Linked DNA regions of Canis lupus familiaris. The protein of the gene in region 1 purifies or fractionates together with the protein of each later gene. This does not show direct contact. Links are inferred from orthologs where the notes say so. Each region holds a gene or a part of one and is shown in the gene's direction. Other genes may lie near its edges. The genes, in order: FGFR1OP2, STRIP1, STRN, STRN3 and STK26.

The links.
Region 2: the proteins of FGFR1OP2 (region 1) and STRIP1 purify together in Homo sapiens (affinity purification with mass spectrometry; 3 studies listed by BioGRID and IntAct, with this or other methods). This does not show direct contact. The link is inferred for Canis lupus familiaris from reciprocal best matches to the Homo sapiens genes FGFR1OP2 and STRIP1.
Region 3: the proteins of FGFR1OP2 (region 1) and STRN purify together in Homo sapiens (affinity purification with mass spectrometry; 4 studies listed by BioGRID and IntAct, with this or other methods). This does not show direct contact. The link is inferred for Canis lupus familiaris from reciprocal best matches to the Homo sapiens genes FGFR1OP2 and STRN.
Region 4: the proteins of FGFR1OP2 (region 1) and STRN3 purify together in Homo sapiens (affinity purification with mass spectrometry; 5 studies listed by BioGRID and IntAct, with this or other methods). This does not show direct contact. The link is inferred for Canis lupus familiaris from reciprocal best matches to the Homo sapiens genes FGFR1OP2 and STRN3.
Region 5: the proteins of FGFR1OP2 (region 1) and STK26 purify together in Homo sapiens (affinity purification with mass spectrometry; 4 studies listed by BioGRID and IntAct, with this or other methods). This does not show direct contact. The link is inferred for Canis lupus familiaris from reciprocal best matches to the Homo sapiens genes FGFR1OP2 and STK26.

Annotation. Positions count from the first base shown.
Region 1 is NC_049248.1:25,862,708-25,868,728, forward strand, and holds the start of FGFR1OP2 (FGFR1 oncogene partner 2), read left to right. Parts: upstream 1-2,598; 5' UTR 2,599-2,627; coding exon 2,628-2,762; intron 2,763-4,551; coding exon 4,552-4,669; intron 4,670-6,021. UniProt on the Homo sapiens protein: May be involved in wound healing pathway.
Region 2 is NC_049227.1:42,384,058-42,390,367, reverse strand, and holds the start of STRIP1 (striatin-interacting protein 1), read left to right. Parts: upstream 1-2,213; 5' UTR 2,214-2,228; coding exon 2,229-2,408; intron 2,409-2,809; exon of another isoform or gene 2,810-2,959; intron 2,960-4,692; coding exon 4,693-4,762; intron 4,763-5,719; coding exon 5,720-5,794; intron 5,795-6,310. UniProt on the Homo sapiens protein: Plays a role in the regulation of cell morphology and cytoskeletal organization. Required in the cortical actin filament dynamics and cell shape. Part of the striatin-interacting phosphatase and kinase (STRIPAK) complexes.
Region 3 is NC_049238.1:29,430,954-29,436,497, reverse strand, and holds part of STRN (striatin), read left to right. Parts: intron 1-1,766; coding exon 1,767-1,871; intron 1,872-2,999; coding exon 3,000-3,086; intron 3,087-3,191; coding exon 3,192-3,361; 3' UTR 3,362-5,544. UniProt on the Homo sapiens protein: Calmodulin-binding scaffolding protein which is the center of the striatin-interacting phosphatase and kinase (STRIPAK) complexes.
Region 4 is NC_049229.1:10,486,218-10,492,379, reverse strand, and holds the start of STRN3 (striatin-3), read left to right. Parts: upstream 1-2,451; 5' UTR 2,452-2,656; coding exon 2,657-2,938; intron 2,939-3,055; exon of another isoform or gene 3,056-3,323; intron 3,324-3,380; exon of another isoform or gene 3,381-3,523; intron 3,524-3,557; exon of another isoform or gene 3,558-3,703; intron 3,704-3,760; exon of another isoform or gene 3,761-3,914; intron 3,915-6,162. Other genes in the region: small nuclear ribonucleoprotein-associated protein B'-like, read left to right, coding at 1,899-2,442. UniProt on the Homo sapiens protein: Calmodulin-binding scaffolding protein which is the center of the striatin-interacting phosphatase and kinase (STRIPAK) complexes.
Region 5 is NC_049260.1:103,928,457-103,934,000, forward strand, and holds part of STK26 (serine/threonine-protein kinase 26), read left to right. Parts: intron 1-938; coding exon 939-1,047; intron 1,048-1,131; coding exon 1,132-1,289; intron 1,290-2,464; coding exon 2,465-2,650; intron 2,651-3,994; coding exon 3,995-4,143; intron 4,144-5,203; coding exon 5,204-5,297; intron 5,298-5,544. UniProt on the Homo sapiens protein: Serine/threonine-protein kinase that acts as a mediator of cell growth. Modulates apoptosis. In association with STK24 negatively regulates Golgi reorientation in polarized cell migration upon RHO activation.

The DNA of each region.
Region 1 (6,021 bases):
TGTGGATTCTTTTATCCAGAGGAATCTAGGAGCTTAGTTGTTTTTTTTTGTTTGTTTGTTTTGTTGTTTCTCTTTTCCCCTTGAGGGGGTGGGGGGTGGTTGAGAGGGAGGCAATTTACTGAATTTTACACCATATAGTTTTTTTTCATGTGTATATCACCTATCATCTAATTATATGTAGGAGCCTTAGTACATTCTCTTTGAAAAAAAAATAATGTTTATTATATTTGTAGATGTTGTATTACGCAGCATAAAGAAGTATTCTTCAGATAGAGGTCCCAATAATATTAATTACAGGTTAGGACCTAGGATTGTTAGAAGTTCTTAGTACTTGAGTTGTTCTTATTAAGCCAAGATAAACAAACTGTCTCTAAAGTCTTTTCCAGTTTTCTCTAGGCTTTTTCTAAAATTTGTTTTTTTATTTTATTATTTCCTTTGACCATCTGTTAGAACCCATCTTCTTTACTGTAAGACAAATAGTCTTTTTTTTTTTTCCTCACTCATTACAAGTCAATTTGCTCCCTTCTCTCCCTCCCAGTTTGTTTCTTTGATTTTGTTTCTTTTTGGTGAGGGGGTGTAAATAACTTCAGAATTTTACTCTGAAAGATCTCATGTTTCATAGTAGTGAGGTTGGTTAATGGGAGATATGGTGGCTCCCATATGAATAAGAAATCTGTATTATTATCCATGTATAAGTTTAGGTAATTCTCCTTGGAAGTTTAGAGAAAGGACAGGGCATTGTTGGATGCTAATGTCTTCCTTGGAGCAGCATCTTGGACAGAACTGGATAGTTGTCCTTTGTGTTTTAGCCAGTATGAGACAGTTGTGACTTTTTTTTTTTTTTTTTTTGACAGCTGTAACTTTAATGACCCTTTTGCTTTTTGTTTTTTCAAGTACCTTTTTCTAAACCTCTCAGATCTTAGGAGATCAATCTTTCGATTATTTTATCTGGAGAACCAGAACTTGTATTAATTTCCAGCTTGTTTAATTTTTAAAGCTCCCTGAAAATGTCATATTGAATATTTTTCTAAATTGGCAGTTTTACATTGTAATTTATTCTGATTAAATCCTCTTATTCAGGTTTGAACCAGTACAGTAGAATTTAACAGTCTTGCATTCTGTAACAAATTTCTGTCTTCCTAAAGTTGATGAAATTCTTAATTATAGCCCTTAGCTTGGATCCATACCAGAGTTTTAATTTAACTTCTATAGACCTGGCTTCTGGCCTAGTAAATTTACAGTGTGATTTTACTTTTAGAGAAAACCCTGAAGAAAGGATGGCTCATATAGAAGGTAAGGTAAAACTTACCTTACAACGAGAAAAATCCAAAGATTAAGTTTCAGAAGATTGAAGTCTTTGAAAGAGATTATTTTAAAATTAAGATTTTGTTTTGAGGTCTCAGTACTAAATGAAGAAGCTAACTGTTGAGTGTTTCGTATTTTTCTGCTAATTTTTTTAGCTCTTCTTAAACACATTATTTATTGATTTTTAACATATCAAAAATTTCCCGTATGGCTGGTGTTCTAAGTCATATATTTTTTTAACCACTTAATAAGGAAAGCACAAGACTTAGGATTATAATACTTCATATATGAAGTATTTCCTCCAGCGATGCCTGGGTGGCTCAGCAGTTGAGCAAGCCTGCCTTTGGCTCAGGGCATGATCCTGGAGTCCCATGTGGGCGGGCTCCCTGCATGGAGCCTGCTTCTCCCTCTGCCTGTGTCTCTGCCTCTCTCTCCGTGTCTCTCATGAATAAATAAATAAAATATTTATTTATTTATTTTTACTTTTTGGTAAAAGTCTTTAAAAAAAAAAAAAAAAGTATTTCCTTCAGTCAGGATGCCTGACTGGCTCAGTCAGTTAAACATCTGCCTTCTGCTCAGGTCATGACTCCTGGATCCTGGGATGGAATTCCTGTATGGGTTTCCCTGCTCAGCAGGGAGTCTGTTTCTCCCTCTGCCCCTCCCCGCTGCTTATGTTCTTACGCATGTGTGTTTTCTCCCTCTTTCTCTTTTTCAAATAAGTGAAATCTTAAAAACATTTTTTTTTAAAAAGTAGTTCCTTCAAAAGAAGGACACTCTGAAGGACACTCTGACATAGTATGACACATAGAGACGACTTTAGCTGGTCAATAAGTGTGAGTTGTGAAATGGTTGGTGTCTCAGGTCACTTAACCAAGCAAAGGCTAGAAAGGATCTCATAGCTAGTGACTGACAATCATGGACCACAGAGTATGGACTAATAAAGTGATCTTTTTCACAAATATCAGGAGAAGGGAATGATCTCATGAAGAACACAATTTCTGTGTAATATAAAATGTATTTACTTGATTTGTACTTTTTTCCCCACTATAAATTCAGAGTGTTTTAAATACACGCAGATTACGTCTGCAAATCATTTATATATGCTCTAATTTTTTAATATTATAAATTTACTTTTAAGCTTGTGCCCTCCGAACAGAAGCAAAACCACAAGTGTTCTTACATGTTTTCTCTCCCCAGTGAACAATCCTGTAATAAATGTAACTTACGAAGCATATCGATGTTAACATGAAACTAAAATAATAAGATGATAAGCTGGCTTTGTTTAGAGTCTTGATTTTAATTTTATAGGTATTCCTTTAGAAATGAGTTGCACAATTGAGAAGGCACTTGCTGATGCTAAAGCTCTTGTTGAAAGATTGAGAGATCATGACGATGCAGCAGAATCTCTGATTGAGCAAACCACAGCTCTCAATAAGCGAGTAGAAGCGATGAAGCAGGTTTGATTTCTTTTCTTTCTTGTGGATTCCACTTTGAAAAAAGCAGTCAGATATTTATGTATTGCTTGAATCATAAATTTCTGCTTAATACCGTTTTTTTAATGTTTTATAAAATTTAAAAGTAACTTGATTTGTATATTTTAATTTTATTTTAGATTATCATATAATTTTGTCATGTCCAGGTGATACAGATATATATATGTATATTCTAAAAACCATATATTTGATTATTTGTTTTTCTGGCAGAGTTGCACATTGGAGTTTAGAAAATATATTAGGTTCTGATATATTAGAGACCAATAATATCTTTCACTAATAGTGATATATTTTGCTCTCTTATTTTTATAATGTAGAAATGTTTATATTTTTCTTTGTAAAAGTACTTAGGTGATGTTATTTAACAACAGAATTTTCAAAAATGGCATAAGGCAATATCTGGTTTATATATTATGCAGTTGTTGAATTTGTACTTCCTACCTTAATTTCCATTTAGTGCTACCAATTAAAGAAAAATTGAAAAGGGTTTCAGTTATTATCCTTATAATGTACATAGGAAGTTTCTTATATAAGAATTGTATATAAGAATTTTCCAGTGGTCCACGGGGTTAAGGTACCATTTTAAGCCTACTTATGATAAAAATTTTCAACTTTAAGATAATTATACAGTCTCTCCTTATGATGGAAATCATTTAGGGGGAAATGTATATTCATAGCCTACTCTTGTGAAACTCATCCATTTTGTAAAAGGAAGCAACCCTGGAATACCACTTTTAACAAAGCTATTGGAAATAATAGAGCAAATTTACTTGTTTTGTTGCCTTAAACAGATTACATATCTCCCTAACTGTCCAGCTTGACTCATGCATTCCAAGGAACTAATATCTGGTACTGAGTCATAAAAACAAAGGAGTTTGACAACTAAAGAACCAGAAATGTTATAATGAATACATTACTAAGCAGCACATCAAAATGCCTTGAAAATGAAGGAGTACAATTTTAAAGTTAGATTCACATTTATTTCTAGGTTTTTTATTTCTTTTTTACATGTTCTTTTGCTATTGTTATTGAGATATAATTCACAATACCCATATAGTTTACCCTCCTAAAGGGCATAGTTCATTGGATTTTAGTACATTCATAGGTTGCGCAACCACAATCACTATCTAATTCCAGAACATTCTCCTCACCCCAAAAGCTTACCTCCATTAGCAAGCTAGGTATTCCCTAGCTCTCCCTTCCCTCAGCCCCTGGCAACTAATCTTTCTATCTCTATAGATTTGTCTCTTTGGGATATTTCATGTGAATGGAATCATACAATATGTGGCTTTTTGTAACTTTTTTAAATGTAATGTTCTTGAGGTTCATCCATATTATAGCATGTTTTAAGTTTTTTATTCCTTTTTATTGCTGAATAATATTCCATCATAAGGATATAGTGCATTGTGTCTATCCATTCATCAGTTGATGGGACATTTGGATTATTTCTATTTGGGGGCTGTTATGAATAATACTGCTGTGAATATTTGTGTACAAATTTCTGTGTAGACCTATATTTTCAGTTATCTTGGGTATATACGTGGGGGTAGAATTATAGTCATCCTGCTATACATTAGATTCTCCAGAACTTACTCATCGTTTGCCCATTTTTAATACATCATCATTAAATTATTATTATTATTGAGAGTTGTTAAGAATTCTTTATATATTCTGGATTAGGCCCTTATATATATTGAGATATGTATTTTCAAATATTTTCTCCCAACATGTTCTTTTTTGATCTTTTCATTAGTATCAGGAGGAAATTCAAGAACTTAATGAAGTTGCAAGGCATCGGCCACGGTCCACATTAGTTATGGGAATCCAGCAAGAAAACAGACAAATCAGAGAACTGCAACAAGAGAACAAAGGTGGGGTCCTGAGGTGGCTCAGTGGGCTAAGCAGCTGCCTTTGGCTTAGGTCTCAGGATCCTGGGATGGAGCCCCACATTGGGCTCTCTGCTCATTGGGGAGCCTGCTTCTCCCTCTCCCTCTGCCTGCCACTCCCCTTCTCTCTCTCTCTCTTTAATAAATAAATAAAATCTTTATAAAATAAAAGAGAATGAAGGTAAGATATATAATTTTAAGATTATTAAGAACGTATGATTGTAAAAAACAAAGGAGTTTGACAAATAAAGCTAAAAACCAGTAATGTTATAATGAATTATGTTACTAAGTCACTCAGCAAAATGCCTTGAGAATAAAAGTGTAGGCTTTAAAGTTAGATTCACATTTATTTAAAAAATTTTTTCATTTCTTTTGCACATACTCTTTTATTACTATTGAGATATAATTCACATACCATAAAATATACTCTTTGGGAAGGCATAGTTCATTGGATTTTAGTTAAAATTAAACTTGGTTGACCATTTGCTTCAACGTGAATAGAACTGGAGGCTATTATGCTGAGTGAAGTAAGTCAATCAGAGAAGGACAAACATTATATGGTCTCATTCATTTGGGGAATATAAAAATAGTGAAAGGGAATAAAGGGGAAAGGAGAGAAAATGAGTGGGAAATATCAGAGAGGGAGACAGAACATGAGAGACTTCTAACTCTGAGAAACAAAGGGTAGTGGAAGGGGAGGTAGGCAGGGGGAAGGGGTGACTGGATGATGGGCACTGAGGGGGGCACTTGATGGGATGAGCCTGGGTGTTATACTGTATGTTGGCAAATCAAACTCCAATAAAAATACATACAAAAAAAGGGAAAAAATTAAACTTGGTTGAAAGAGCTATAATACACAGTTGGACTCTTAATTTGGGATCAATTAATATTTTTAAAAACAGGGAAATGGGCAACTAAATTTCCTTTTCGGTATTCTCATTTCTGGTCCAAATGCCCAAATCATATGTAGTAGTCTTTATCCTTTCCTACATATGAATGTCTACCTTACTTGGAGTCATCTTAGATTCCCACTCTCAATATCCAGTTTATGCCGTTATTACCTATGAAGTAACTCACTTTCTTCTCTACGGAACAACTGCTTTAGTCCCTTGCTTAGATGTTCATGGTCTGTTGCCAGAACTATCCTAATTGGCCTCAATGATTCCAGTTTCTTTTCCCCCTCTAGTCTGTCTCCCAACACAGGCATCCAATTCATTTTTCAAAGATCTCTCTGATCATGTTATTCTTTTGCTTTAGAACCTTCATTGTATACTTATTTCCATATCCAGAAGCTTTCAAAATCAACTCCAAGCCTTTTTTTCTGTCTCCTTCCCATC
Region 2 (6,310 bases), on another chromosome or scaffold:
CAGAGCCTACCTGGGACCACTACCATGTTCTTGGGCGCAGCCCCATGACTACTTGTGGCAAAGGAAGGGCCTTCTCACTGTAGGGTTCACCTCTTGGTAATAATAATAATTCCCCTTTTTAAAAAAACACTTTATAGTTTTCAAAATGATTTCACATAATTTGATCCATAGCCTTCATAAAACATGGGATTATCATCAGTTTACAGATGAGGAAAGAAGAAAGTCATAACTATTTTCCTACGTGTCACTGAAAATTCTTCTTAATATTAAACATGAATATTCATATCTTCTATATATTCAATTTTATCAAAGCCCCATTATTTAGTTAGTCATTTTTTTTATTGGCTATTTCTCAAATTGGGTTGGTCCCAACTTTATACAACTGAAAACACCAATGGCTGGAACATCATCACATATATATCTTCATCTAAATCTTTGTTTCTTTAGAATCTTTTAATAGAAGTGGAATTATTAAACTAATACCTTAAACTTTCCCAACTCTGAACGGAGATGAAACAGTATAGGGTGTTTCAAGGTCTATTCTTCCCCCTAGGTGATAGAACTTGTGGTATAGGTCAGTCTTAGAACTTGGCCAAACTGGTGACTAAAACTAGAGAGCAGTTATGTATTGGGTTTTGTGGGACTTGCTAATTTTATCCAAAAAGGTTAGCCGTATTAGTCCTTTTCCTGCAAATTCCTAGTTTTTCCTATCACCTTGGCCCAGCCCAGCTTGGATGAAATGCTAATTTACAAAGTGTATTATTAGACATAAAAGGAAATGGGCAAAGGATGGGAAGATCAGTAGGAGGAAGAAGCAACATAGTGGCTTTAAGTTTATTCATCAGTTTACAACAAAGACTTTTAAAGCAACTACTAGTTGGATGGTGGAAATTTCGAGAAAGTTGCATCACGGGGAACTTTCTGGGAATTGAGCTGGAGTAGCCAAGATGGAGTTCTGGAGGGACAAGGACGGAGAAAATGCCTTTAATGCCTTCACAGCATAGTAACAGGTAATTATCACATGTTACCTCTAAGATGTTTAATGGGCATCTCTAGCTTGACATGCCCCAAAGAGAAATCTTGATCTTCCTAAACCTGTTTTTCTTTCTCCCAGACCTCCCTAATGTAATCAGCAATACAACCATTCACCTAGTTGCTTAAGCCAAAAATCTAGGACTCATTCTTTACTCCACCCTAACCTGCTGATAGGATTCTAACCTTTTACTAAATCCTGTCACATCTACCCACACAACATAGAAATATTGTTAACTCCACTTTGGTGCAAGCACCATCATTTTCATCTACAAAGTTCCTAACCTGCCTACCCTCATTCACTCTCAAGTCTCTAATTCCTTTTCCAAAAGCAGCCAGATTGGTCTTGTAAACTTCAGACCACAACAGCTCCCTGGTTAACACCCTCTGATTGTTTTCCATTTTACTTAGAATAGAAAATAGAAAAAAAAAATTTTTCATCCCCTTCACGGCTCTGCATTTATCTGGCCCTCATCTCCTCCTGTTCATCCCCTGGCTCACTCCACTGCCACAGCGACCCCAGGACCCTCTGCTTACGATGCCTCCACGCCTCTTTGCACGGTAGGGGCACGCGGGGGGCTCAGCAGTTTAGCGCCACTTTTGGCCCAGGGCGTGATCCTGGAGACCCGGGATCGAGTCCCACGTCGGGCTCCTGCATGGAGCCTGCTTCTCCCTCTGCCTGTCTCTGCCTCTCTCTGTGTCTCTTATAAATAAAATCTCTTAAAAAAAAAGTGTTGAATGAGTGATGAATGCATGCTAGTCACAACTCTAATTGCTTTAGCCACTTGTTTCGCCCATGACCCCCAGGTGAGTGTCCACTCCCTGAAGACTGGGGATCCTGCCCGTTTTGTTCACTGTTCGGTCGCCTAAGCTTTGCAAAGGGCTATCACAGTGACAAGTGCAAAGCTATATTAAGGCAAAGTGGGGGCAAGTCAAGGACTTGAGGAGCTATGGGACTACTCACAGGTAAAACTGCACCCACACAAGGACTAAAAAGGGGTGAGAACCAAGCGGAGAGAAAGCTAAGAGCCCGGGAAGAGATGATCTCGCGAGGTGTTGGGCAGCCAAGATGGCTTCCGGCACTTGCCGACACACCTAATATGGCGACGAGGGGGGGGCGTTCCTGGAGGAAATCACGCGAGAGTTACATGAAGACTAGAGTCCGAGAATTGAGCCGGGGGTGTGGAGCCGCCAAGATGGAGCCGGCAGCCGGCGTTCCCGTCCCGCTGATCATGAACAACAAGCAGCCCCAGCCGCCGCCACCGCCGCCCCCCGCAGCCGCGCAGCCTCCCCCCGGGGCCCCGCGGGCCGGCGGGGGCCTCCTGCCCGGGGGCAAAGCCCGGGAGTTCAACCGCAACCAGCGCAAAGACTCGGAGGTCAGGCGCTTGGGGGGCCGGTGTAGCGCCCGCGGGCGCGGGGGGGCGGCTTTCGGGCTGGTCGTGGGCTCCCGTGGGCTTCCCGTGGGTTCCCGTGGGCTCCCCGTGGGCTCCCGTGGGCTTCCCGGAGCCCGGGCGGGCCCGCGGGCGGGTGGCACTTCACAGCGAAAGGAGCGGGGCGCGAGGCCGGCGCCCCCGGCCGGGCGCGAAGCCGGTGCTCCTCCGCGGCCTCCCCGGCCCCGCCTCCGGGACGCCGCCCCCCCCCCCCCCCCCCCCGCCCCGCAACGGCCGGCGGAGGAGCGGGCTCGGCGCCCCGGGACTCCCGGCCTCCCCGCGGAGACCTCAGGAAGGGAGCGCCGGGGCCCCGGGCTGTGACCCGCGGCCGCCCCCGCCGAAGGTCGCTCGGAGGTCGCTCGGAGGGGACCCCCGCTAGTGCCCGCGCCGCGGCCGGCCTCACAGCCGGGAAATCCGGTCCTCTCAGGCTTTGGTGTCCTGGTGGCAGCGCACGCCCCTGGGAAAACGTGTCAAAATTTGGCAAGTCCAAAATAGAGGTACTCTGAGCTTGAAGTGAATTATTTGAAAAAGCAGTGAAACTGGTTTTTTAGGAGCTTTTGCATGGTGAAGTATGAAAGGCGTGGGAGTGAACCTGCCTTCATCAGGAGAGGACTTAGAGCTTAAGAATAGTTTTAGATTTTCCTGAGTAGCCTTCAGTGATCAAGGCAATGATCATGACCCTCTGATGCATGTAAATTTCTCTTTTCTACCCTTTAATTTCCATATAGACTCATCGCAGGGAAGGCAGCCAATGAACACATTTAAGCTGAGAGACCTGCTTCAGTTATTTTATTGGAGATGCCAGAGCTGCACTCCGCTCTTTGGGGCATAGCTGGAATCCACCGGCTGGGAGCTTGAGCAGTGCCTGGAGGACAGCGAGGCGGTCTTGGGGAGAGCCTACTGTGTGCTACATAATTTTGATTAGTCCTTAAATCCTTCAAGATAGGGGCGCCTGGGTGACTCAGTCAGTTAAGTGTCCACCTTCAGCTCAGGTCATGATCCCTGGATGCTGGGATCGGGCCCTGGGTTAGGCCCCCTGCTCAGTGAGGAGTGTGCTCCCTCTCCTTGCCACCTATTCATGGGCTCTCTTAAATAAATAAATAAATACTTAAAAAAACAAACAAACACAAAACCTTCAAGATGGATTTTTATCATCCCCTTTCCATAAATGAACTGAAGCTCAGTAACTAGAGAAAGTATGCATTATTGCCTTCGACCGAGTAAAGTTCTTTGTTTTTCCATCTCTGTGGGTTTGCTATATTGTTTTGTGAGTGCTCTTTGTCTTACAAAGTAGCTTGTAATTAGGCCTGAGGCCTTTACCTATTTCGTCCCTTCTCTCTTCCTAGCACAAGGTTTTCAAGATGGTGTGGTCTCCGTGATCACCTATCCCCAGCAGTGAACAGATTCTCTTTGTCACTTTCTCTCCTGTCTGTTGGAGGGACACCATTCTGCCCGTCAGTTCTCACGGAAATTTGAGAGAAGGGCAGGAAAGCGGACTGTCAATACTCATTTTGCCCTGAATTGTTGATGGCTTACCACTAGCCAGAAAGAAGTGAGGCTTCCAGAATCTTAGCACCATGTGGAATGGGTCATTCACTGCACAGAATACATAGAGGCTTTGTGTTCATTTGTGTTCATTTATCTAACAAGAATTTATTTGACTATAAACTCTTCATTTATATTCGCTCATTCAAGCCAGGTAGCGTGCTGGGCATTGTGAAGTCACAGGTGAGCAGAGTGGACAAGTTCTCTCTCTCAAGGAACTTGGAGTCTCATGGAGAGGCATACATGAAATAAACACACATGCTGGTATATAATTATAAGTTGAGGGACGCCTGGGTGGCTCAGCGGTTGAGCGTCTGCCTTTGGCTCAGGTCCTGATCCTGGAGTCCCAGGATCGTATCCCACATCGGGCTCCCTGCATGGAGCCTGTTTCTCCCTCTGCCTGTGTCTCTGCCTCTGTCTCTCTGTCTCTCATGAATAAATAAATAAATAAAATCTTAGAAAATATATATATATATATAAATTGTGCTACTAAGGAAAAGTGGAAGGTGTTCTTGCAAGGGCTTAATAGGAAGACCTGAGCTAGCCCTGGAGATAAATGTGTTAATACCTAAGAAAAGTGGAGGCAGTGGTGTCTTATAACACAACAGTGTCTCAATGCATATGTATTTCCTCCTTTGGAAAACAGGATGGTCTCTTGCATTACTCTTTGTCCTTTTCTCAACAGGGCTATTCTGAGTCGCCAGATCTCGAGTTTGAATATGCTGACACAGACAAGTGGGCTGCAGAGCTCTCAGGTAAAACACAGACCTCCATATTATTTGGGGGTGCTTTTTTCTGTATTGGTCTTCAATAAAATTGAGAGTGAATGTCACAAGTGCTTTGCAATATAAAAAGGTATTCTCTAGGTTATGGCCTATGACTTTTTAGTAGAGACTAATTCTTCTAGATGTCAAAATTAAAGCAATGAACAGCTTTAAAAAAAAGAAAAAAGTGAATGTCATTTTGGAGTTCATTTTTTCACCTGGTTAATTATGATTTATATATATATACATATATACACATATATATATTTATAATGAACATGTTTACATACATGTACATACTTATATATACACACACACACACACATATGTAAACATGTTAATTATGGGATTCAGGCTTTGTGTATCTTATAACTTTGGCTTTTCCTTTACTTTGGTGAAGCACCTCTTCTGTGTGGTCAGCTCTTTTGGCTGTGGCCTAGTCGCAGACAGTGATGCTCCTTGGCCATGCACTCTGTGCCCAGCAGTGGTCTTTCCTAGAGCAGTAGGTCACTCATGAGGCTTGCCAACAAATGTGCCTGCATCTGTGCACATCTGTTACTGCCACTGCTACTCACATGTAATGTGAAGCTAGCCTGAGCTGCTTCTCAGGCCTCCATAGTACAGGTCCTATTTAGGAGGTCAGGGCCACCTGAGAGACACTTATCCATGGTGGCAGTCAGCCTTGTCATGGCATGGTGGGATTGATGTGCACAGGACTGGAAAGGCCTGGATTTATGTGGCATTCTGATTATCGGCTGCTAGCGGGAATCAGCACTCTCTGCATCGTGCACATCAGAGCACTCACACCCCCTTAGTCATTGGATAGTCTGGGAGTCACTGTGATTCAGGGAGACTGGGGCCTAGAAGCAGATGCCTTATATTCTTTGCTACCTATGAGAACTGCTATGGAAGGTGGACGTGGAGCTAATGAGACTTTGTTCTTAATAGAGCTTTACAGCTACACGGAAGGGCCAGAATTCCTGATGAATCGAAAATGCTTTGAGGAGGACTTCCGGATCCATGGTGAGCCGGTTCCCTGCACTTGTTGGTTCCTCTGTCCCTGTGTGGTGAGAGCTGCAGAGTTTCTCTTAGTCATCTGAGCGACTTGAGTCATTCTGGACTGGCCTAAGAGACCTGCTGAACCATGATTGTTCAAGGCCCCCTGTGAGCTTTAGAGGGGGATTGCTGGTACTCTGGTGGTGGCTTTTCAGAGTGTGAATATGGGGAGCGGAGGAAGCTTTATGTGATAAAAATAACATAAAAAATATCAGTGTTTCAGTCTGGAAATCTGTAGAGCAGCAGCATGACCTTCCACCTTATGTAGAGAGTAACTTCTCTTACTGAGTTTTCTGGTCTTGTGGCAGTCTTGAATTTGGTGAGTTAGCATTGTGTTCATTCCATTGTGAGGACTTTTTTTTTTTTTTTTTTTTAAGATTTTATTTATTTATTCATAGAGACAGAGAGAGGCAGAGGGAGAAGCAGGCTCCATGCAGGGAGCCCGATGCGGGACTCGATCCCAGGTCTCCAGGATCACACCCC
Region 3 (5,544 bases), on another chromosome or scaffold:
GTATATGTATATAATTTTAGATTCTGAACCACTTAAGAGACATCATAACACTGTGTAGAGCCCTAGAGCCTTTAGCGTGTAATTCCTAAGAATAAGGACATTGTCAGGACGCCTAGGTGGCTCAGCGGTTGAGGGTCTGCCTTTGGCTCAGGGCATGATCCCAGTTCGGGGATCGAGTCCTACGTCAGGTTCCCTGTGAGGGCCCTGCTTCTCCAGAATTCTGCCTATGTCTCTGCCTCTCTCTGTGTCTCTCATGAATAAATAAATAAAATCTTTAAAAAAAAAAAAAGACATTCTTTTTTTGACATAGCATATAATCAAAATCAGGAAATTTAACAGTAACAAAATGCTATTGTCTAAAATTATCATTTATATTCAAATTTGCCAGATCTCCCAATAATATGCTTTATAATAAGGTCATCCCTTCCTCTCCCTGGACCATGACATGATTATTTTAACTTTGACATATCTTTAGTGTTACCTTTATATATAGTTTTTTCCTTGAAAAAAAAAAAAAGGGTCTTAACAAAACTTACTAATTAAAAGGGTTTTTTAATGATTGATTTCCTTTTGATGAAAGACTTTCAGAAGGGCCTGTGATAGTTTAGGTACCATTTTTGGCAGCAGTGTGATTTGCATGAGCCATCTAATATTGGTACTGACTTTGTCACATGATTTTGGGGGAGTCACAACTTTTTCTAGACCTTGGTTCATACACTGTGATAAGGACCTAAGGACATGTGGCCTGCCTGTCCCATTGTGCATATAATTGAAATTCTTTAAAGTTACTATATAGTGCACATAATAGTCAGGATGCTGTTTTAAGATTCCAAACATGATAGACTGTTAAATGATGACCATTTCTATTTTTTTTTAAGATTTTATTTATTTTAGAGGGAGAGTGTGTGCACATGTGCACACGCAAGTTTTGGGGGAGGAGTAGGAGGAGGGGGAGAGAGAAAGAATCTCGAGCAGAGTCTGCACTGAGCCTGACACAGCGCTAAATCTCACCACCCTGAGATCATGACCTGAGCCAAAATCAAGAGTTGGACACAACTGACTCAGCCACCCAGCTGCCCCGATGACCATTTCTATTACAAGAAAGAAATTGAAGAGGTCAGAAGCTCTCTTTGTCATATTTGTCTTCAGATGATAACTATGTGATAAAGAGCTCTGTATCGGGCAGCCCCGGTGGCCGAGCAGTTTAGCGCCGCCTTCAGCCTGGGGTGTGATCCTGGAGACCCGGAATCGAGTCCCACATCAGTGTCCCTGCATGGAGCCTGTTTCTCCCTCTGCCTGTGTCTCTGCCTCTCTCTCTCTCTCTCTCTCTGTGTCTGCCATGAATGAATAAATAAATAAAATCTTAAAAAAAAATGCTCTGTATCTAGAAAGGTGGAGATTTAAATTTGAGTATCGTCTACATGTAAGTAATGATGGAACTTTATTAAAGCAGTAGAAGTATTGCAGATGATCAGAGAATGAGATAGGTCAGTGACCCTAGGCTAAAGCCTGGGTGGCCCCCATTGATTGCAGGTGGAAAAGAAAATTCTCATTTGTGGGTACTTCTATATTTGTTAGTATGGTATTGCTCAGGCAGTTCTTTTCTAAAACATTAAAATTATAAATAGTCACAGAATAAATGAACTAAAAACAAATTAAAGTCAAATCATTTACTTTTTTAGTCTCCTAGGTGAGTATTCAGTTCCCTTGTGTGAAGAAATTAGTAGTTTTGACTAACTTTGTTGCTCTTTTTTTCTTTTTTGCAGCCAGTTCTTCCTGCCAAATAAATAGAGTCATCAGCCATCCCACTCTTCCCATCAGCATTACTGCTCATGAAGACAGGCACATCAAATTCTATGATAACAATACAGGTAAGTGTTTTGCAAAGTGATCAGTGATAAAGCAAAAACAAAAAACAAAAAAACACAAACCCCACTATAAGTACGCTGATTTGGGTGTCTCTTAGTGGCTGCATAGTCCAAGAGTAGGCATGAAAACAGATATAGACACTCCCAGCTCAATTTCTGTTTAATCTGTCCAAATCTGCTAAGAACTAGTCTTCATGGTACTATATAGAATCATCTTGGTTTATTTAATAAGTAGATACTATGTTTTGTCCCTAGAGTCAAGGTTATGAATAGGGACACAATGAAAAGGTCATTCAAATAGCAATAAAACTGATCTCTTGCTGTGAATATATTGGGGAAAAAGTAGAAACATGTTGGAAGTAGAGGCATATGATCATTCTATCATATTTTGTTTAAAATTGTTCAGTGAAAAAAAAAAAGAAAAAAAAATAAAATTGTTCAGTGTTTGCATAGCCTTAGTGTTGGAGTTGGAAACCCAAGTCATTTGGTTAACTTGATTGACTGTCTGGTTCTGATTGATTTGAATTAGGATGTGTGGGCTTTCCCATTTTTTTATTGAATTGCATTTCACCAGTTTAAAAGAAATTCCTGAAGAGCTGTGTTGATAGGAGAACACTCCATATTATCAGCCAAATTTACCTGAGTATCTACTGTTGACTTTTGCTGACTTTGCTTAGCTGTGAGTGATGAGTAATTTAATATTTTAATCCCTTCCTATATGTTATTTCCACCAAAACTGTGGCCAGATTTTCTCTGTTCCTTTATCTTTGTCTCATTCTCTTCTGTTCTCACAACCCATATAATTTACCTGTAGCTAAAGGATGCAAAGTAGCTGTTTAGTAATGTCTGAGTTAATGAACATGACTCAAAGAATATTTGTGTACAAATGACTAACTTTTATATTGTTATTTGGAAGACACAAATATAATCTGAAATTTGAGCTTTTGTTTTTCTTCATTACCATGGCTAGAGTGGGGAGGGAGACACATTGTTGAGCTGTGATGGAAAAAGCTATTAATGCAGTAAGTATTCAGAGAGGTGACTGGAGAAATCAGTGTAACGTGGTAGCTGGCATATATTTCAGGATAAGGAAAACTATTAATAAAGAGCAATAATCTCTTTTTTCCAAAGGCAAACTCATCCACTCCATGGTAGCCCACCTAGAAGCTGTTACAAGTCTAGCAGTTGATCCTAATGGCTTGTACTTGATGTCTGGCAGTAAGTACATCAACTATGGATTACTTATTTATCCTTATTATTTTCATGTTAATGTAATATTTCCTTTCAATTTCTTTTCTTTTCTTTTTTTTCCTTTTGATGCAGGTCATGACTGTTCAATACGTTTATGGAACCTAGAAAGTAAGACATGTATCCAAGAGTTCACAGCTCATCGGAAAAAGTTTGAAGAATCAATTCATGATGTAGCTTTCCATCCATCCAAATGCTATATAGCCAGTGCTGGGGCTGATGCACTAGCTAAAGTCTTTGTATGACACAATGCATCATCTTCACCTTCTAGCTCTTTATAAATAATCAACTGCACAAAAGAGATACAGAAGACCAGGGCAAGAATCAACCTTTCCTGCCCTTTTGTTCTGCTGAAGGAGCACAGAGAACATTTGTTAAAGTATAGTTTTGCAATTCGTATACTGTTTTCTAAAACTAAGGTTTGTTCAGGTTGCTGCAAGCTCAGCTGAATCTGTGAGCCTGAAAACTGTTTCAAATTTTCCCCCAAATAGGAGCTTTTATTTCTGAGGTTGTTCTGATTCGCTAGGCAGGCCTGAGCGAACATAAGTTTAGCCTGTCCCTATTGAGTAAATAGGGCATGCTATAAGGGATAATTAAAAAGCTTGATGACTGGGAATGAGTGGAGGAAGAACAGAAATTTAGACCTAGTTCTCCCCTGAGAATCTTGTTAAACACATTAGGTAGTCAAAACAGTAATCTTTACCATATCTGCTGTACTAACCCCTATGTGCGTAATGACCAGGCAGTGTTAAAATGAGTTTTTAATTTAGCTCTCCTTTCATCTGTGCACATAAAGCACCTGGCAAAGCATTTTACCTATTAGGGGAAAAAAAAAAAAGAAATGCAATAATATGTTAAATATATTATTATTCAGAAATACTAAACAAATATTTAGTTTGTAAGCAGATTTCTATATTGTATTACATTTTTGAAAATAGATTTGGTACCATTGTAAAGTTTAGCTGTCAAAAACAGTCACCGTTATGAATAGTTGATAAGAGTCTGCTTTTACTAATGGGTTTAACTTATTCAAGTTTGAGATTCTGTTTATTTTTAAGGGCAGGCAGGGCATATCTTTATAATACTCTCTGTTAATTTTAAAATTCACTTTATTCATGTGATATTTATAGTACCAGAATGGTTATCTCCTATCGATGAAATCAGACCTTTCAGTGGTTGAAAAGTTGGAAGTTATCTGTGAGTACTCACATTGGTCAAAACCCACAAACCATGCTTCAGATGACCTCTTGCTCTTTGTCTCTCATGTTCAAATTATCTGACATCTACCAAAAACAGTTTAAAATTATTATGTTTTAACAACCCAAAGGGTTTGGTTAATGTCAGGCAGCTGTCTTTGCTGGACTAAATAAAGCAACTCTTTTGTACCCCAGAAGTCCTCCATTAATATATTCAATAAGGGGAATCTGGAAATCTGGATGGAAGAGTTTGGTGCATAACTTTGGCTAAAGAGTTCTCATTCTCTTTCCCTTCCCCTACTTCTCTTCCATTCCTTAATTGGAAAACTCAGAGTATTTTAATAGGCAATATATCAATATCATTTCTGGAGAATATTGTCATAAAGGACCAGGCTTCCCTGAGCTCACCTATCCTGTGACCTACATGTCTTGGGATTCCCATGACCCCACTCTTTGGACTGAATATATAGACATCATCCCTACAGCTGTCTCACTTGTCTTCACACTCTCTTGTTTACCCCAAATGTCAGAGACCAATGTAGAAATGAGAAATAAATTACTAATGCCCAAATTTTCAGCAAAATGTATGTATAATAGTTCCTCACCTTTAAATTCATATCCATAAAGAATTTAATCTTTTAATATAATTCCTACATTCCTCTCCCTACATATTCCATTATCATATCAATGACACTTCTGATAACATGTATATCTACTTCTTGAAGATGTATTCTGGTGGTGATATGGATAGTAATTGACAGTTTTTCTTTAAAATATCTGCTTTTCTGCCTCTAGAGTTTTGCAGTATACAGGCAAATTTTCTTTAAAGATGTGTGCTGGATTTGCCTCATCGATATCTGTATATCGATCTGTATATGCTTTAATATTTTGACAGAGCAACCTTGCCATTTCATCTGTGCTTTGGTTAACAATGGGCTCAAGGGACTCCTTTGTATAATCAAATGAATTGACCTGGACTTGAGCTACCAGGTGAATGTTTATATTATTCCCATGCAGATACAAAATTCCACATTTTATTTGGTGCATTCCTCTTTTGGTTCTGAGTGAAAAAATGGTGTTGCTAACCTAACATTTATAGAAGGATACTGGAAAATTCAGTCAGGTGCCCTCACTTGGCGTATTTATGATGGTTTAAGCTATTGTTCTACCAGTTACTGCTTTAATTACCTCCCAAGGTCTTCAGTGCCTGCTTTACTTAATGTCACTGAAAT
Region 4 (6,162 bases), on another chromosome or scaffold:
GACAAGATTCCAGGACACTGGAGTATTCTCAGGGGTCATGGACACAAAGTATAAGGACAATAATGTGTACAAAATATTCTCCTCACAGAGTCAAAAATCTTGGTGTCTTTCTCTTTTAATACTCAGGGTAAAAAGTCAACTATAAAAAATGAAAACAAAGTAAAAAAGAACTCAGGGCAGTTTTGGTCATTGACCCTTGAAATAGCTGGTATAATGGTAGCAAAAAAACTAATAATACAAAAAAATTGAGGTGAAGGAAAAATATATCTATTAGTCTAGTCCACATTTCAGTTATTAATCATTTTTGGGAGACTGCACTATCCCAGACATGGAAGGTGGGGAACATTAAGGTGGCCAGGTTTAAACTAACACAAGAATAAAGGTAATGGAATAGATGTGATATAGATAAGGAATAGAAATGAAACATGTACTGAGAAAGGGACTGGGTGTAGGGGCTGAGTAAAAAGAAGATAGTACAATGACTACCAGCCCTCAGGTTTGGATGTAATGCCATTTAATAAGATAGGTAATAGAAGAGAAATAGTTTTTTTTTTTTTTTGGAAGGTGGGTGGGAAGGAAAATAGAAGGATTATCAATCTAGTTTTTACTTAAGCTTGAGGTACCAGTGGGAAATATAAGTACTCATGTTCTTCTTTTGATGCCACATAACAGAGATCAATTACATCTACTCACCTACATTTCTTTGAGACATATTTGGAACTTTTTCTTTTCTTTTTTAAAGATTTTATTTATTTATTCATGAGAGACAGAAAGAGGCAGAGAAATAGGCAGAGGGAGAGGCAGGCAAGGAGCCTGATGTGGGACTCATCCCAGGACCTCAGGATCACATCCACAGCCAAAGGCAGACGCTCAACCACTGAGCCACTCAGGCACCCCTGGAACTTCTTCTATACTATGAGGCCCCTCAAAAAAGGAAGAGGACTGAATAAGCAGGTTTTATGCTGGTCACTATAAAATGGAAAAATAGTACTTAAAAATATGGAGAAACAGTTTTTAATAATATGTGACCTAAGACCTCACTCATTTCATAGACAAAACATGGCAGCAGGGGTAACAGATCATCACTAAACATAGTAAGAGTAGACATGATTAAGTAAGATGTACTATTTTAGTCTTTTTGAAATTATACTTTGAGTGGTGCTGTGCATTACACAGTGAGAGTTTTACTGGTAGTAGAGAAGAAAAAAAATAATGCGATCAATTTTATGTGCAGTTTTCCCGCATAGCTGTAATTATTGAACCTTTTTTCCTTATTACATTGTTAAACATTATTCTTGTCCTATTTTTCAACCAAGTGGTTATTAGCTATATTAACTTTCTTTAGAAACACAGTAGTTCATTAAGGATGTTTCCTGGCAACCTAAGCATATAAAACACACACAATGGTACTTAAAAGATTAAATGTGTCTTTTAGGTGTATATTACATTCATTTAAACATCATTTAATGACCCAGGAAAACATCTTCGCGGCTGTTCATCTAGGATTTTATATTGTATTCACGACGCTTTTATTTTGTTTTCATCACAAGATTCCATGAATGCCACCTGTGAACCCTTTCATTCTAAAACACCGAACTGTTCGTCTAACAAGTCTCCTTCAAAGTTACCTTTCTCTCTCTCCCCCCGTACCATCGTCAAGATCTAAAGCTTTTCACTATTCCTTCTCCCAAGAAAAAAATGAAAACATTCACTCCTGCTCCTCCCCCCCCCCCCCCCCGCGCCAACCCACCCCAGAATAGGAGAAAGAGGGGCGGCAAAGTGGAACAAGCTGCGTCCCGCGCCCGGGAGCACGGAGCTAGGACACCGAGACCCGCAACCAGTCACCGTGTCCGGAGGGGGCTGGGCTATCTGCCAAAAGAGAACGTCCATCCCCAAAGCCTCAGGAATGACGGGTACTTAGAGCGAGTGACAAGCGGAGGAGGAGGCCCGACCCTCTGGGACGTCCTGAAACACGCCAGGAATGCGAAAGAAACGCCAGGCATCCCGGGCGGGCGGCAGCCGGCCAGAGCGCCCAGCAGGTTACGACGGTCCTGGAAGCAGGCATGCGGCTGGCCCCGGGGGGGGGGGGGGGGGACGACGCTCAAGGGGCTGCTGACTGAGCGAGGGAAACTGACGGTTGGGAGCGCCCGAAAGTTCGGGTGGGTGTCCCGCAACACAGCCCAGCCCAGAGGCCGCAGCGAGGCACCGGGGCAAGCCGGAGGAGCGCCTGGGGGCGGGGCCAGAGCCCCACCCCGCCTCCAGCGCCCTCACGAGCCCTCAGTACGCCTGCGTAAGGCGAGGCCGCACTCTATTTGGCTGCTAGGCGCGCGGCGGCAGCGGCGTTCTCTACCCGGCATGCTGCGCGGGAGCGACGGCCCTACGTCTCTCCCCTTCCCAACCCAGCCCCCTCCCCCCTCCCGCCGCGGCCCCCCCTTTCCCTAAAGTGAGTGAGTGAGACGGGCAGATGGAGGAGGGACTGTAATGGCGGCGGCCGGCAGCTCCCTGCTCTGACCCGCGGCAAGCGTACGGCAACGACCCCCTCCTCGCCCCTCTCCCAGGCGGCCTCCGCCCCGCCGGCAGCGCGGGGCCACCCTCCCCGGCCCTTCCCCCAGCCGTCGGCTTCTCGCCCTGCGCCCCGGCCGGGGCCCCACACACAATGGACGAGCTCGCCGGAGGCGGCGGTGGCGGCCCGGGGATGGCGGCCCCTCCAAGGCAGCAGCAAGGACCTGGGGGGAACATGAGCCTTTCGCCAGGGGGGAATGGAGCGGCGGGCGGCGGAGGTCCTCCAGCCGCCGAGGGAGCGGGTCCCGCGGCAGGCCCGGAGCTGTCCCGGCCGCAGCAGTACACTATCCCGGGGATCCTGCACTACATCCAGCACGAGTGGGCTCGCTTCGAGATGGAGCGGGCGCACTGGGAGGTGGAGCGGGCCGAACTGCAGGTACCTCGCTGGGGTCGGGGTGCGGGACGGCTGCGGCGGCGGGGCTCCCGGCCGGGGGGTGGGGCCGGGACTCCCCTCGGTCGGAGCCCCGGGCCTGGGGGGCTGGGGGCAGCCTACCTGTGCAGCTCGGGGGGCGGTAGTCCTGCCTACGGCTCTGGCGACGGCTCTCCCGAGGGCCCCCCTCCCCCTTTCCCGCAGAAGCTTGTTCCCCAGCCCTTGCTAGCTGCGCGGTGCGGGCTTCCTTGGGGCAGCCATTTTGACTTTTAGTATGGCGTCTGCGGGGGCTCCTCTGGAGGCGGCCTGCCGGGCCTCCGGGGCTTGGGGCAGAACTCCTCTCAGTGGGAGAGTCCGGCGTGGGGTGACGGGGCGCGAAGCTTGCAGCTGACTGCGCCTTCTGCGAGGGAGAGCCCGAGGGGAGGGTTTGCGATGGGCATTTCATTACCTTTTCCTTTTTCACCCCCCTATCCGATTTGGCGTTTCTTGGGCCCCTCTCCCGTAGTTGGTGCGCACTTGCCCCTTGACAGCCACGCTTCTTTCCAGGGCTGCCACCGAGCGTAGTGTCCTGCTGCTGACTTGGGAAGTTGACGTTTCCTACCGCCAACTTTAAGTACCTTCTTACCTGGGATGCTGCCTTACTTAGGTTCCCTCCCGGTCAGTTCTTCCCAAGCGACTGACTCATCATCACTGCTTCTCTAAATTGAATTTTTCTTTCGGGAGTACCCTTCCTTCCCCGGGCCTCCAGCCCCTCCTTTAGCCCTGTGAAGCCGAACCAGAGTCTCTCTGCCGTGTTTAGGAAACAACCGAGGAACGATTTAGTGTTACCTTGAAGTGTGACACGTACTTGTCCCACGTTAACTGACTCGCGCAGGGGAAGCAAGGTTAAATATCCCCAGAATCCTTCATAATTGAGCCTTACTTGATCTTTTAAAGGTGAAACTTTGCTAGGCTGGTTCACCTAACTTGTGGAGGAACGTTGGTAGTTGAAGAGCTCACGTCTTGGATTTCAGAATGGCTACATCCTTTTAAGAGGATTGTTCAACTCTTGGGTACTTGTGTTTATTTTTAAATCCCTTTCCAGGGCAAAATTAGGCTTAGAAGGAAAAAGCATGCATCCAAATAGTGTTGCACCTGTTCTTCAGACTGGTATATATTTAGAATGTAAGTAGTAGTGTTCGCTGATATATATATATATCATATATGCCTACGGTGAATAGTTAGGAAGATACGGTGTTGCAGGAAGGAAGACTGGATTAACTTAGGGTGTCTTCAAACAAATATATATTTTTTTAGTTTAATTTTGAATTAGTTATCTTTGATTCTACAAAGTTAGTGAAGCTAAACTTTTAAAAAGGACTTTTATATATCTTGACACTTTATCAAGTCTTCATATCTGATCTGATTCTTTTTTTTTCTGAATTTTTTAATTTATTTATGATAGTCACAGAGAGAGAGAGAGAGAGAATGGCAGAGACATAGGCAGAGGGAGAAGCAGGCTCCATGCCCTGGGAGCCCGATGTGGGATTCGATCCTGGGTCTCCAGGATCACGCGCTGGGCCAAAGGCAGGCGCTAAACCGCTGCGCCACCCAGGGATCCCTTTATCAAGTCTTCAAAAAACTTAATTATAAATTAACACCTGTTAGTCAATTCAATGTTTTAGAATTGTGTTTTGATATACTGTAGGACTTTTAAAAATAGAACTTTCCAAAAGCTTGTATCATAATTGTCTGTAGTTTCTTTTTTCTTTTCTTTCTTTCTTTCTTTCTTTTTTTTTTTTTTTTTGTAGTTTCTTTTAACTTGTATGTATGTAGTCTAGTTTAAAATATCTGGGATTTATAGAGTTTTGCTGATAAACAACTTTTTACTACACCATGTTGCAAACAGTATACTGTATGAAGATAATAAGACGGTTATTTTTAAAAATTGCATTTAAAAATGCACTGAGGCTTAGACTCACTAAATAATACCTCACCAGTCCCTGGATATAGTGTCTAATGACCTCTGCACTGTTGTATGAAAGATTGGTTTTTTTTTTTTTTTTTCCCCTGCCCTAGAGGATGAGACATTTATTTTGCCCTGTAAGCACCCGAAAGCTTGGATTTTAACACTTTGTAAGTTAACAGTGCATTAGTCATTTATAAGCTTCACTAATTTAAGTATCTGAGGAAATAGCTTATTTGTGTCTAAATTAAAAAAAAAACCTATAATGAAGTCTATATGTCTGCCTTAGCCCTTTCTTTACTTTTTAGTTCTCTTTGCCAGTAACAGTGAAGTCTTTTAAGGAAGATTCCTTTTGCTTGTTTGCTTTCCAGTTGATCTGCTATTGTAATACTAGTTCTGATAAAGCCTTTCTAAGCTTTTTTTGTTTGCTTACTTTTAAGAAGTTCTACAGTGTCTCTAGACTCTTAGTTTTTCCTGGGATTTTCATTATTTCACACTGATTCTTTTGAAATGGAATGTGCATGATTCTGTTTGTTTTTGTTCTACATATTTTTCTAAAATGTTATATTGGGTTACTTAGTTAAAAGGGTTTCAGGTTTGTTTCTGGAATATCGAATTTGCTTTAGGTACTTTCAGTCTTTAATAAGATTGCTTGTGAGATGCACATTTAACAGTGTATATGTCAAGGGGCACCTGGCTGGCTCCCCTGATAGAGCATGTAGCTCTTGATCTCCAGGTTGTAAGTTTGAGCCCCGTGTTGGGTGTAGAGATTACTTAAAAAAATAAAATCTTAAGAAAAAAATGTGTCAAATAAAAAATTTATTAAGGTTTCAGTGAAGTGTCAACGGATTTTAACTGTAAACTTTATTTTTAGGAATGATAATGTAGAAATAAGAGAGCTTAAATATTATTTTGTGTATAGCCTCAGATCACTTTGATGTGTGGATGAACAGTGACTCAGAAATGTTCAATATTAGAACTATTCAATGATGAATATGAAGAGGTTAGGGTACACCCAATTTTGATGTAAAATTTCAGCATGGAATCCTGTTTTCCCTGGCTTTGCAAAGGATCTTTTTTTTTTTTTTTTTTTTTTTTTAATTGTTCAGGCTTCTCATTGAACTTGGGGCTTGAACTCATGACCCTGAGAACAAGAGTTGCATGCTCTACCAACTGATCCAGCCAGGCGCTCCTGTAAAGGATTTTAAGTTGGAATTTTGTGGTGTGGTTCTATTCTCTGTAAAAGGAATTTTGGGTGAAGGTCTGTCTTAGAAACTTGGAACTA
Region 5 (5,544 bases), on another chromosome or scaffold:
TGACTTTAGATTCCCACCCTTTCCTGTAATAATATTGTACAGTCTACTGTTTGTGCTTTATGAGGTACCAGAATTTTAAAATAACCATTTATTTTAAAGAGAGATTTTCAGATATTCCATTACAATTTCTCCTGAAACCTAATCATTGCTTTCCTTGTATTCCAGTTGGAACTACTGGCTTTGGTACAGGGATGGGGAAAGAAAGGGAAATGTGTTATGGTTATTTGAAAAAACTGTATACTTTCACGATTTGATCATTGTTTTTTTTTGTTTGTTTTGGTTTTTGGTTTTTGTTTTTTTTTGCTTGTTTGGGTTCTGTTTTACAATGGAAGTCTGAATAGATTAATTATATATTCCTAACTAACTTTTAAATTTTGGTCTCAAAAAGGCTCTCGGCTTTCCAAAGTGATTGAGATACACGAATGCTAAGAACTGTGCTGTGAGCTGACCTATATGATCTAGTCAAGTTGCTGTGGAAATCTTAGTGACTGTATGATCTCAAAATAGTTTAGTGTAAATAGTTGATCATTTAAATAGCCAACACCAAAATTGTTAAGTAGTTGATTTCTTTTTTCCTAGCCAAAAAAGAAAAAGAGAGAGATTGAGAGAAGAAAGCTAGTTCTGTCATTGTTAGCATATTTCTTAACTCTTAGATGTAAATATTTGAGAACCTCAGGATTTGGAGCTGGTACAGGGGTCATACTACTTGTATTATATTTCGAGATTAAATCTAATCATGTAAAAACCTTTTCAGCCCTTTGACTTAACTTGTTGACTCTCTTCCCTTTTAAATTGTTTTCCCCTTTGTTTCAATATTGGCTTAATAAAGGCAGAATTGCTTTGTATATCTCAGTGATTCCTTTATTTCAAAGATAATATCCGGTTTGAACTTGGTTGTTCAGACATGTATAAAAGTGTGTGTGTTTTCCCCCCCTAAGCTTCGAGCTGGTCCATTTGATGAGTTCCAGATTGCTACCATGCTAAAGGAAATTTTGAAAGGTCTGGACTATCTGCATTCAGAAAAGAAAATTCACCGAGACATAAAAGGTATACAAAAATCATATATGAACCTGAGAAATGTAGCTGTGTCCTGAGGATGCTGAGCAGATTTCATTTCTTTTTTCCTCCCAGCTGCCAACGTCTTGCTGTCAGAACAAGGAGATGTTAAGCTTGCTGACTTTGGAGTTGCTGGCCAGCTGACAGATACACAAATTAAAAGAAATACCTTTGTGGGAACACCATTTTGGATGGCTCCTGAAGTTATTCAACAGTCAGCTTATGACTCAAAAGTAAAGTGTACCTGTAAAAAATATTTTGTTTTTAATAGTAGGTTCTATATAGCATGCTATTCTATGTAATAAACTGCCCTAATCTTCTTTCTTTTAAGAGTATTTCAAAAGCTAGAGTTATGTCAAGTGTTCCTGCTAAGTCATAAGATCCCAGGATGCTGATAGTATTTGGACCCTATTCCCTTTAGTAACCTTTTGTCCAACTTAGAATAAAATCTGAGATCATTACTATCACATACATGGCCATCTATGATCTGGCCTTTGCCTCTCCAGCCTCATCTCCTATTACTCTCTTCTATATTCTGTCTCCTTTGACCACAGGGGACTCATTGCTATCCCTCAAACATATCAAGTACCACTCTGGCCTCAGAACCTTTGTACTCAGCCTTCCCTCTATCTGGAATAACCTTCCTACCAATCGGGTCTCTGCTTCAACATTACTTTACAGCGTAGGGGCTCCTGGGTGAGTGGCACAGTCAATTGGGCATCCAACTCTTAGCTTCGGCTCAGGTTATGATCTCAGGGTTTTGGGATCAGCCCCATGCCAGGCTCTGCGCTCTTGGAGTCTGCTTGAGATTCTCTCCCTCTCCCTCTGCCCTTCCCCCTTAAAATAAATCAATAAATCATTTTAAAAAACACATTACATCACAGAGTAGTCTTCCCTAGCCATCCCGTGTAAATGTGTAGCCCCAGGACCCCATAACTCATTATCCCTTTATCCTGATTTTATTCTTTTCTTCACAGAACCGAGTACCACCTGACATCATATTATTTATTTATCTGTGTCTTTATTGGAACTCAAGCCCTATGAGAGCAGGGATTTTTGTCTACTTTACTCACCACCTGAATCCTCAGTGCCTAGAATATGGTACCTGGCAAAACATTAGGGAATTTGATAATTTTTTAAATAAATGAATTCTGTTAAAAAATGTATTACATTTACATTTCTTGAGATACTATTTTTGTAAAGTTTTACCTATTTCATTGTTTAAGTCCTCTCTACCCTCAACGTGGGGCTCGAACTCCTGAACCCAAGATCAAGAGTTGCACACTCTTCTTATTGAGCCAGACAGGCACCCCTCTTGAGACACTTTAATATCATATGACCCACAGGCTATTTCATGACTGTTGGAATGGAATTTCGAGGTATTATTTTTTTCTCTCTCTTCCCTCAGGCTGACATTTGGTCATTGGGAATCACTGCCATTGAGCTAGCCAAAGGAGAGCCACCTAATTCTGATATGCATCCAATGAGAGTTCTGTTTCTTATTCCAAAAAACAATCCTCCAACTCTTGTTGGAGACTTTACTAAGTCCTTTAAGGAATTTATTGATGCTTGCCTGAACAAAGATCCATCATTTGTGAGTATATATTGCTATTACTACTATTTGTTTTCTATTATTAAATCTATATAAAGCAAATGTGATTTTTCTACAGTGAGGAATACAGTGCCTGTGTATTGTCTAAGATCCTTCTAGGAACCTGATTCTTCGCTCTGTCTTGCTAATTCTCTTCAGTTCTTAACAAGACCCTTACTTTATCTTCTCCTTCCATTGTATTTTTTTTTCTCTTTCTCATGGTTCCTAGCTTCTTCCTTATTCTATTGATCATTTCTTATTTCAGGAGGAAGGAAATTTGAGATACAAAGTTCCTGTTACAGGAAGTCATTAAAGTACATGTGTAACTATCCAGTGATTTTTATTCAACTGTATTTTTATTTTTCATGAAAAGTGATATGTGCATTTCACATTTTTTTTGAATTTCCAACATATGAAGTTATATGCTTTTTCTGAAGTCCAGTGAACTCCACTCATTTACCTGGCAGATTTGATCACAGTTGCTTTACTGATTCTTTTTTTTTTCTTTACTGTTTCTAAAATAAAGCTGCCTGGTGACTTCTAGGGGCTAGAAATGTACAAGAACTAGGTTTCGATGGAACTGTTTTTAAATTGAGAATGATTATGCTGATATTAATAAAACACTAGGGGAGAAATGTCCCCCATAGCACCTGGTATTTGCATTTAGATGTGCTATGAATTAATGCATGATGGAGAAAGGCTTAATCTGAGCATCATATGATGTGTGCAGATGATAATAAATTATAGCCCTCTAGCTGTCATCCATTTTTTCAACTTAAATATAATAAAAGTATTTGAAATGTTTTTAAATTTTTACTTATTTTCAAAATCCTGCCATGTGTTTCTCTGCTTTTGAGAGGGCCCTGCCTGTCCATTTGCTGGTAGGTAGGCCACCTTTTTGACCCTGGGCTTGAACAAATTGGTACCAAGGTAGTGTATTGAATTCGGTTGTCTTGAGGCACTTCAAAAAGTAGAATTAGAGCAGCCCCAGTGGCTCAGTGGTTTACAGCCCTGCCTTCAGTCCAGAGCGTGATCCCGGAGACCCAGGATTGAGTCCCATATCGGGCTCCCTGCATGGAGCCTGCTCCTCCCTCTGCCAGTGTCTCTGCCTCTCTCTCTCTCTCTCTCTGTGTTGTGTGTGTGTCTCATGAATAAATAAATAAAATCCTTTTTTAAAAAAAGGTAGAATTAGCTATTTATTACCCCTACAACATTTTAGTTGTCTTCATGTTTGTAGACCTAGTTTTCAGATCTACCTTTTCAGCTTAATTGAAATGATTTTTCACCATCCCTTGCAACCATAAAAGAGCCTAGAAATATTCATGCATCCTTCATATTTTTCCTTAGCGTCCTACAGCCAAAGAACTTCTGAAACACAAATTCATTGTAAAAAATTCAAAGAAGACTTCTTATCTGACCGAACTGATAGATCGATTTAAGAGATGGAAGGCAGAAGGGCACAGTGATGATGAATCTGATTCAGAGGGCTCTGATTCGTATGTACAAATCATTTAATTTTTATGTAGGTAGCCCATTCTAATATTGCCTTTTAACTAGTATCTGTTCTGCTTTCTCTAGCATAAAATATAAACCTTATTTTAAAGTTTTACTGTAGAAACCGTGAAAATCTTTTAAAATCACAGTCTGTGGAGTACAATGAATTTGGAAGCAGGTTTTTTTCTTTGAAGTGCATTGCTCTAGTTTTAAATGGTCTCGGTCTAACCCCTAGTGGATACTTAAGTATATTACAAAATTTTGGAATATGATTTGAGTAAAAGTGATTTATTAGTTTGCCCAAAGTGATAAGGGGCTATGTCTTCTCATACTTTGGGGGGAACCTGCAAAATTCATCTGGAGGACTGACCTCCAGGCCTTTCCCACCCCTTGCCCACATGCTAAACTGTGATCAGACTAATATATTTAAATATTCGTTTATGTATGTTTTGTAGCCCCCCTAAAAAAGTTACACTGTTTTTCTAACTGCAGCATTTACATTGACATCTTAGATTCTAAGCCCATAACTTAATTTAGACTAGGGAAGTCTGTAGGTTACACCAGAATTTACCATTCCACTGGTCAAATTGGCACAAAGGCAACACCAAGTTTCTTTAGCTAATACTCTCAGTGTCCTGCATTTATTTGAATTACCCTATCTTTGAAAAGAATAAGAACTACCAGGATGATTTTTGTACCCTGTTGTAATGGTTTGTTGGCTGTGGCTGCCTGTGCAAGTAGCCCATGGAACTTTAAAGGAGAATCAAAAACCACATTACAGAAGATCCTGATCCAGTCAGTGGGGATTGGTGGAGGCAGGGCTTTTTCTATGTGGGAAGAGGTCTCCATGTGTGATTTTGATGCATACTTACGAGTTGAGGACCACAGCTCTTCTTCAATAAATTATAGTATCTACCTGAAACTGAGATCAAATGCTTTTTTACAGTATAATTTTTTTTATATATTAGAACAACTCTTCAGAGTCTAGCTGCATTGATTTGGCATTTTCACCAAGCAGAATTATTTAGGAACTTATATTAGTATTTTGGGCCATCTCTTTAGGGAATCCACCAGCAGAGAAAATAATACTCATCCCGAATGGAGCTTTACCACCGTGCGAAAGAAGCCTGATCCAAAGAAGCTACAGAATGGGGCAGTATGTGCATGGCAATAGTCATTTCCTCTTGATAGATAGACTCTGTTGGACTAATGTAGTGAGATTATGATAGCCAAAAATTATTAGAATTTAATACCTCTAAATGCCCGTGTACCTCACTGTGTCCTTAGTATGCTTCATTTGCCATTAGTTTTAAGCTAATTAAGTAAAGGTCATGGAAGTCATTTAGATGGTCATTGGTATGTTTTATTTTTATTTTTTTCTCATTGGTATGTTTTAAAATGCA